2 linked regions of the Nothobranchius furzeri genome follow. The protein of the gene in region 1 purifies or fractionates together with the protein of each later gene. This does not show direct contact. Links are inferred from orthologs where the notes say so. Each region holds a gene or a part of one and is shown on either strand. Other genes may lie near its edges.

What was found.
Region 2: the proteins of lin37 (region 1) and e2f4 purify together in Homo sapiens (co-immunoprecipitation; 4 studies listed by BioGRID and IntAct, with this or other methods). This does not show direct contact. The link is inferred for Nothobranchius furzeri from reciprocal best matches to the Homo sapiens genes LIN37 and E2F4.

Annotation. Positions count from the first base shown.
Region 1 is NC_091745.1:37,814,526-37,818,610, forward strand, and holds the start of lin37 (protein lin-37 homolog), read left to right. Parts: upstream 1-1,263; 5' UTR 1,264-1,916; coding exon 1,917-1,950; intron 1,951-2,085; coding exon of another isoform or gene 2,086-2,089; coding exon 2,090-2,165; intron 2,166-2,235; coding exon 2,236-2,286; intron 2,287-2,404; coding exon 2,405-2,434; intron 2,435-2,884; coding exon 2,885-2,970; intron 2,971-3,049; coding exon 3,050-3,210; intron 3,211-3,726; coding exon 3,727-3,858; intron 3,859-3,978; coding exon 3,979-4,049; intron 4,050-4,085. Other genes in the region: proser3 (proline and serine-rich protein 3), read right to left, coding at 1-7, 143-273, 354-574, 697-793, 864-874.
Region 2 is NC_091744.1:86,776,923-86,780,018, reverse strand, and holds the end of e2f4 (transcription factor E2F4), read left to right. Parts: intron 1-357; coding exon 358-439; intron 440-1,567; coding exon 1,568-1,714; intron 1,715-1,849; coding exon 1,850-1,897; intron 1,898-2,018; coding exon 2,019-2,063; intron 2,064-2,145; coding exon 2,146-2,261; 3' UTR 2,262-2,476; downstream 2,477-3,096. UniProt on the Homo sapiens protein: Transcription activator that binds DNA cooperatively with DP proteins through the E2 recognition site, 5'-TTTC[CG]CGC-3' found in the promoter region of a number of genes whose products are involved in cell cycle regulation or in DNA replication.

The sequences.
Region 1 (4,085 bases):
CTGCCGTCTTTCAGAGGGAGGACACGTTCGGGCATGGGAAAGGATCCAGCGGAAAGTTTGTCACAGAAATTTTACACAACCCACGAGCTTGTAATATTTACTGTGTCGTGTGACTAAACACAGCAGAAGTTAAAAATAATACCACTGTTTGATGCTTTAGTAGGAGTTGAACTGTGGACTGATGAGTTAAACATCCACCCAAACGGCATCTGCTCTTCTCCAGCCACCTGCTGCCGTTTCTGAGGCTGACTGTGGCCAAAGCGCTCGATGTGTCTGTAACAAAAACACGTCATGGCTTTGTGAGGCCCACAAATTCAATCATCTCTACGGTGAAAAAACACCAGCAGATTTACTTTGCCATCACGGAATCATCCTGAACTCCTGAGGAAACTGTTGATGTCTCTGGTCTGGCAGGCAGATCGCACGCCAGCATTTCAGGAGAGGACCTGTAGTCAGTGGTGGGCCAGATTTCTGTAAAAACATCTCCACCATCGTGACTCTCCTGTAGCTGTTGGCTTCCTCCATTCTGGGAGTGACACTGTTTCCTAGAGCTCTGGCTGGGATGCACAGGACTCTGCAAAGAGCATAATAATAATAATAATAATAATACTAAAATAAAATAAATCACGTCCCAAATGCTGGACTAAAAAACACAAACATGAGTAAAGGTAAGAAATGTTGGCAAAGCTGACATACATCTGTCTTTGGCAGGGATTGCTTGCGGGATGGATGATGAGCTCTTCTCACAGAGGATGCAGGTGTGAAGGGATTCTTCCTTGCAAACACAGATCCACTATAAAAACAACCATTAGAGATAAAACTATTGTTTATGGTGGTATAAAAAGGAGCTTGTTGGATCTTACCTGGATTTCATAACTATTGAAGAACGGAAAATGTTCTCTTCCTTGTTTTAACCCTAGTGTTCTCACTAGGCGTCGTGAGTTACCATGGACTCCAACGCTACAAATCACCTTTAAGTTAGGAAATTAAAACAGCTACACGCAGCCGCATCTACTACAGACTCAGATTTCCTAAGTTTATAAAACTATAAAAAGGGTGACAAAACACAAAAGCGTCACGCTTTTTTGGTGTTTGCCACACCACTCAGCCAATAAAATCCTCGCTAAAATGGCGCACATGTCATTTGTCCAATCACAGTGGTTTGAACAAGCACCAATCAGCTATTCGGGTGTTACATCAAGATGTGTTCCCCGCCGGAAGTGTTTTCTTTCCCTGCGTCACTCATTTTTATATTTAATCTCTGGTCTTTAAAGCAACGTTATTTTAAGAAAATAGCCAGATAATATCTTAGTAATCTATTATGTTATTTTTGTGCATTCCAGCACGGCAAACAAATCATCAGGGCAGGAGGGGAAAAACTCTGTGTTTAGGTGAGACATAAGCTCGCGGTTACGCCACTCATAAAACTGACTCACTAATTCATAAAATAGACATCCCTTGTGTTTTTATTATGTATCTCGGAAAAAAGTACACATTTTACCGGGAGATGGCTAAAACACTACCAAGTGGGAACGGTTTTCAACCAGGGAACACATTTCGGGGTAACACCTGTTACGCGGAAGTTTGTAGAAGCAAGCTGAAGTTACATTAGCAACTATAGCTGAGCTAATACCTTCCACAGTTCGAATAATAAAACCAGTTGTCTGTACTATTTGAAGCAAATTATTGAAAGTTGTTTTGTCTAAATCATTAGGATAAAATAATATTTTTGCCATAGAATTTCTTCACTTTTTCTTTTACGAATAATCAGTTGGTTAAGCGCTGCTATGTAAGTCAGCTAATGGTGCTGTTGGCAAACAGCCGTTGCAGCCAGGATACCAGGACCCTTTGTTAGAGATCAAACAAGAATTAATTTCAACATTAAAAAAGGTTACAAAAGTGCTGAAAAGAAGACAATGCACCACATCAAGATAAAGACTGAACGGCTAGGTGAGATATACCCACAATATAACATTGGTTATAATTTCGTTCGCTATTTGTGCTTGCTTTAAAGATACAATATACATAACATTAGAGCCCAAAAACGAGAGACCTAGCTCTAAATCGATCTGCTTTTTATGTTACCTAGATGCAGAGAACACCGCTGCACGCAGCAAGTTGGATGCTGTGTTAAAGGGTCTTGTAGAGAAGAGCGAAAATGAGAGGTTAGTAAAACACACTTGACCATAGCTATGCTTTCAAATGATTAAATGCTTTTAATTGTACTCTCATCAGAGAACCAAATGAGGGTGATCCAGGAAAATTATCAGTGGACTCCTTGCACAAGTATGGATTAGTTTTTTTGTGATTTTATCTTTTTATTATGAAGAAGGATTCACACTTTATTTTTAAACAGCTGTAACAGTGTTTCAGTGCAATCATGGAATGCTCTTGTTATCTCTAGGGATTTGTCTCCATCTTCTGCTGGAAAGAGGTAATAATCAGTACTATGTTCTGTAAATGCGCAATAAATGTGCAATACCCAGAGATGCACATTTATATGTGTCTTTTATGCTTTTTCTCCTTGAAAACAGTTATGAATTTTCTATTTTATTCTGTTTTTATGCATTTATTTTGTTGCTGAAGGTTATGGTAATAGCCCAATACTCTTGTGTGTTTACCTGTATTATATTTTCCTATGTCTGTGTGTATGTGCTGCCCTAACAAGTAAATTTCCTCACTGTGGGATCAGTAAAGTCTATTCAAATACCTCATACAATTCTAAATACCTCATACACATACTTGATTTTCTTGTTTTTTTTATTGCAGCATAATTTTTTATCTGCACACATCGTTATATGAATTCAGTTATTTAGTACAGAAAATATTTCAGTTTTTTAAGCCTTTTTGCAAGTCCTCATGTTTGTTTTCATTTTATTTTCAGACCTTCAGCAAGATTTCCACAGCATCGAAGGAAGAAACGGAAGGAGATGGATGAGGGCATACCAGAAACCAATCCGCATAAACAAAGTAAACTCAACTCACATTCCATTAAATGACACGGTAGTATTATTTACCCTGATGTGTGTTTCCTTTGCCTTTGTTCTAGATGCTTATGTTATTAAGTTGTTTGATCGCAGTGTTGATTTGGCTCAGTTTAACACCAGCACCCCTTTATATCCAATTTGCCGTGCCTGGATGAGAAACAACCCTTCTGTTCGAGAGCCAACAGCTTCCCCAAACTCCCCACACAGCATGTTGGAGGAAGAAGTAAGGCTGCACATTCCTGTCATCATTATTTAATTGATTTAATTTTGTTTAAAGGAAATGAAAGCAAAACAACCATAAGAGAAAAAGTGTGTATAGTTTACAAAATATTTCTTCTAATTTAATTGTTTAAAATAAGTTTCATTGTACACAATTTGTGTGAAAATAATATTTGTCTCCTACCCCTCTTCACAATTAAATTATTATTATTATTGTAATTGTTGTTTACCAAGTTATGAACTTTATTTAATTGTAAATTTAACTTGTGATTGTCAGTCTGCATGTTTGTGTAATTTCCTTGAAAAGTTAATGGTTTTTAAGTGCATCGAGTTTGAAAAGCAGTGTAATATATTAATGAAACTTACAAACTGTGTGTTTTTTCATTGCCTAAAACAAATTTATGAATTTTGAAATGAGTCGAGATTTTACCAGTAAGTCCCCTAAAGATGGCAGTATTGCACCATCTCTTTAGCCATCATACCTGAGCTCTCTGTTATTTGTGTTCTATCCTTGCCCCAGGTAACAGACATGATAAACGGCAAAGGTCAGAATGTGTACCGACTCCCCCCTCCTGCTCCCAGCCCAGTTAGCCCTTCAGGTGAACCCATCAATCTCAGGATTCAACAAATTGAAAAACCCATCGTTACAAAGGTGCTTGAACGTTACATTTTTTTTCTCTTCGTTTTGTGTGTGTGTGTGTGAGAGAGAGAAATAGAATTGTACAAATCTTCAGATGTATAAAAATGGTGAATAAGGTTACTCTTTTCACAGTCAAGTGATGCTCCTGTGTCAGAATCCCTAATAAGTGACCACTTGGAACGCTGGAAAATGATAAGGCAGAAGTAAGTTCTTAGGAAAAATTTTATTTAATAAAAACT
Region 2 (3,096 bases), on another chromosome or scaffold:
ATAACCAACCAGGCTCAGACAGGTCCTCGGCAGACTGATGGGAAACGTATTTAACGGTCAGGTTTTTCTCTTCAAACGTTCAAACTTCTCAAGTTTGGTAAAAAATAGTTAATTAATGTTAAGGCCACAGTTTTGATTCAGTAAAAGCAGCTAAGATGGGAAAAAACCTTCTGCTTTGAATTTCAAGTGTGTGGCCATTTGTTTTACTTTACCATGAATTACAGAAATTTCTTAACATAGAATTTATTCTAAAGGATTACTGTAAGGTGTCCATTTAAATGTGAGCGATAGTCTCCTTCGTTACATTTGGCGTTTTGTGCAATGCTGACGTTTCTTCTGTTCCATTTTCCCCTCCAGGGTCCCAAAGGAGTTCCAGACACGGCCACAAAAGCAGCTCCTGCCTTAACACCAGCTTCTGCAGCCAACCAGACGACAACAGGTGGGGAACGTTTTAAAGGTGTAGTTCACTGAAAAACGTTTTTGATGATTATTTTTGTTCATAATCAGTCACTCTGAGTTTTTCCATGCAAGCTGAACATGAAAAAAGTCTCCTACACCTATGTCCTGCATCAGCGTCTGACAGTGGTTCTCAGTCCCGGTCCTGGAGAGCTGCTAACCAGCATGTTTGAACCACCTGTGCAGCAGCCTGTTAGTTTCCTGCTGATTGAATTCAGTTTGTTAAAACAGTTAAAACGGACGACGTGCTGATACCGGCCCTCCAGGTCCGTAATTTAGTACCACGGCTCTTGGATTAGAAAATCCTGACAAATCTACGTCACCCTGTCACTAACATTCATGGATTCACTCATCTGGACTCACGACGGGGAAGGCTGTTGTTGGTTTAGCGTCCAGGAAACGGCAGATAACTCCTCAGCTAGTAGAAGCTAACCGTTAGCATTAGCAACTCCACCACACAGCAGAACTCCTTCAGGCTTGTGTTATTTGTGGAGATAAAACATCAACGTTGCAGAGCAGCCAGAGTCAGTGGTAGAGTCGTGTTGCTGTTATCCAATCAGAGGCGAGATGTCCACATATCAGGAAGTAAGACTCCTGTCGCGTTAAGCTCTCCTTTGATGTAGCATTCTGCTAGTTCCTGAAACAAGCGCATCTGAGCTTTGTTTCCCCCGAGTACGACTTGAAAGGCATTTGTTCCTACTAGAGACTGCTGCACATGTAGTGATTAAGCAAGTAGCTCAGGAGGTAGAGTGAGCAGGTTGTCCAGAAATCGGAAGGTTCCAGGTTCGATCCCGGCTCCGACCAGAGAATGCTGCTGTTGAGTCCTTGGGCAAGACACTTAACCCAGCTTACCTGCTGGTGGTGGTCGGAGGGCCCGGTGGTACGTGTGTACGGCAGCCTCGCCTCTGTCAGTGCGCCCCAGGGCAGCTGTGGCTACATCGTAGCTCATCCCCACCAGCGTGTGAACGTGTGAATGACTGATTGTGTTGTGAAGCGCCTTGGGGGGTTGTATACAGAAACGGGCCTTTTACCGAGTGAATTATTTTCTGCTGCTTCTTCACTTCCCTCTGGAGTTTCTCACATTAACGTTGTGTCTCTGGTTTTGTTTCAGAGGCGCCGAGCACCACTCCTCTCAGCCCCGCATCACGCACACCTGCTGCTCCTCCTCAGCAGCTACAGTCATCCGCCTCTTTGGACGGATCCGCGTCGTCCTCTGTCTCTGCTGCGTTTGAACCAATGAAGTCGGATCCATCTGAATGTGAGTGTCGGGCTCTTCTAAAGCTGTGAAGGACATTTCAGAATAAGTTTTGATTGTTTTGTTTGCAGATTACATTTCAGAAAAGTTTAGTAAAAAGTGTTTTTGCAACCGTTTTACTGAAATGTTTCCCTTCAGTGTTGGACTTTCCCAAAGAGCTTTCAGACATGTTTGATCCAACTAAAGGTAAACCATTTCAGCCCTTCTTAAACCGTAAATTCAGTCACACGCGTCTCTACATGTAATAGAAAGTATTTCACGGGATGCAGCAGCTGGTAAATATGGATTTACTTTGTTTTTCTGAAAGAAATCATGAGTGGAGACCTGCTGGAGGACTTGATGTCATCAGAAGGTGAATATGATTACAGACAAAGCAGCAACATCATCACGAACAAACTGTCTTTGTGTAATTCCTGTTTGTGTTTCGCCCTCAGTGTTCTCGCCTCTCCTTCGTCTGTCCCCTCCTCCCAGTGATCATGACTACATTTACAATTTGGATGAGACAGAAGGTCTTTGTGACCTCTTTGATGTGCCCATTCTCAACCTTTGACCTTTGATTTAAACAAAAACTGTTACCCAAATATGATTATCTGTCCTCATTCTCCTCAAGTCCTCCTGCCCTGTTTTCTCCGACAGCGAAGACTAGAAGAGGGGCAGGAAGTGCTCCGAGGACTCGGCTGCATCGGCAAAAAGAGCTCCAGCCGAGTTCAGACGGGAGCGCAGAAACAAAGACGAGGACAAAACATTTTACTTACAACTTTTCCAAGGAAAAACAAGAGTCGGAATTATATTTTTGGATTCTCGTGTACAAAAAAAATTATGCTTGCGTGTCAGCTTTCCCATATGCCTGAATGTGTGTGTGGGTGGGTGGGTGGGTGAGTGAGTGAGTGAGTGTGTGTGTGTGAGAGAGTTTGCTTCTCTGAAATCGTGTCGGACATCCCCCAGGAATAAAAACAGATCCTTCTTTTCAGTCCGGTCAGGAGCTGAATAGTTTCGCTGAGTCAGCTGGTGACATATGCACTGTCCTCTTGTACATAGAGAATATATTTTTTGTATTACCTGCACACGAGGCTTATTAACAGCATTTCTAATGCAGACAGATATTTAGAAAACCAACACCAGGCCCAACAAACTGTTCTCTCCTGCATGACTAGAGCGGTGGATTTTCTGTCACGTTTAACCAAAACCGTTGGCATCAAGGTGCTCTCAACCACTTTTAGAAGAAGAACTTTAACTTATTTAAGCCAGTAGACTTTATGTAAAGAACCACATGGCTCGTGGTGAGGTTAATCCATCTAATTCACAGATAAAAACACTGCTTTAAAACACTCTTTGGAGTCATGTTTTTAAAAGGTGCCCCCACCAAAATCAGTCTTTTCTAGATG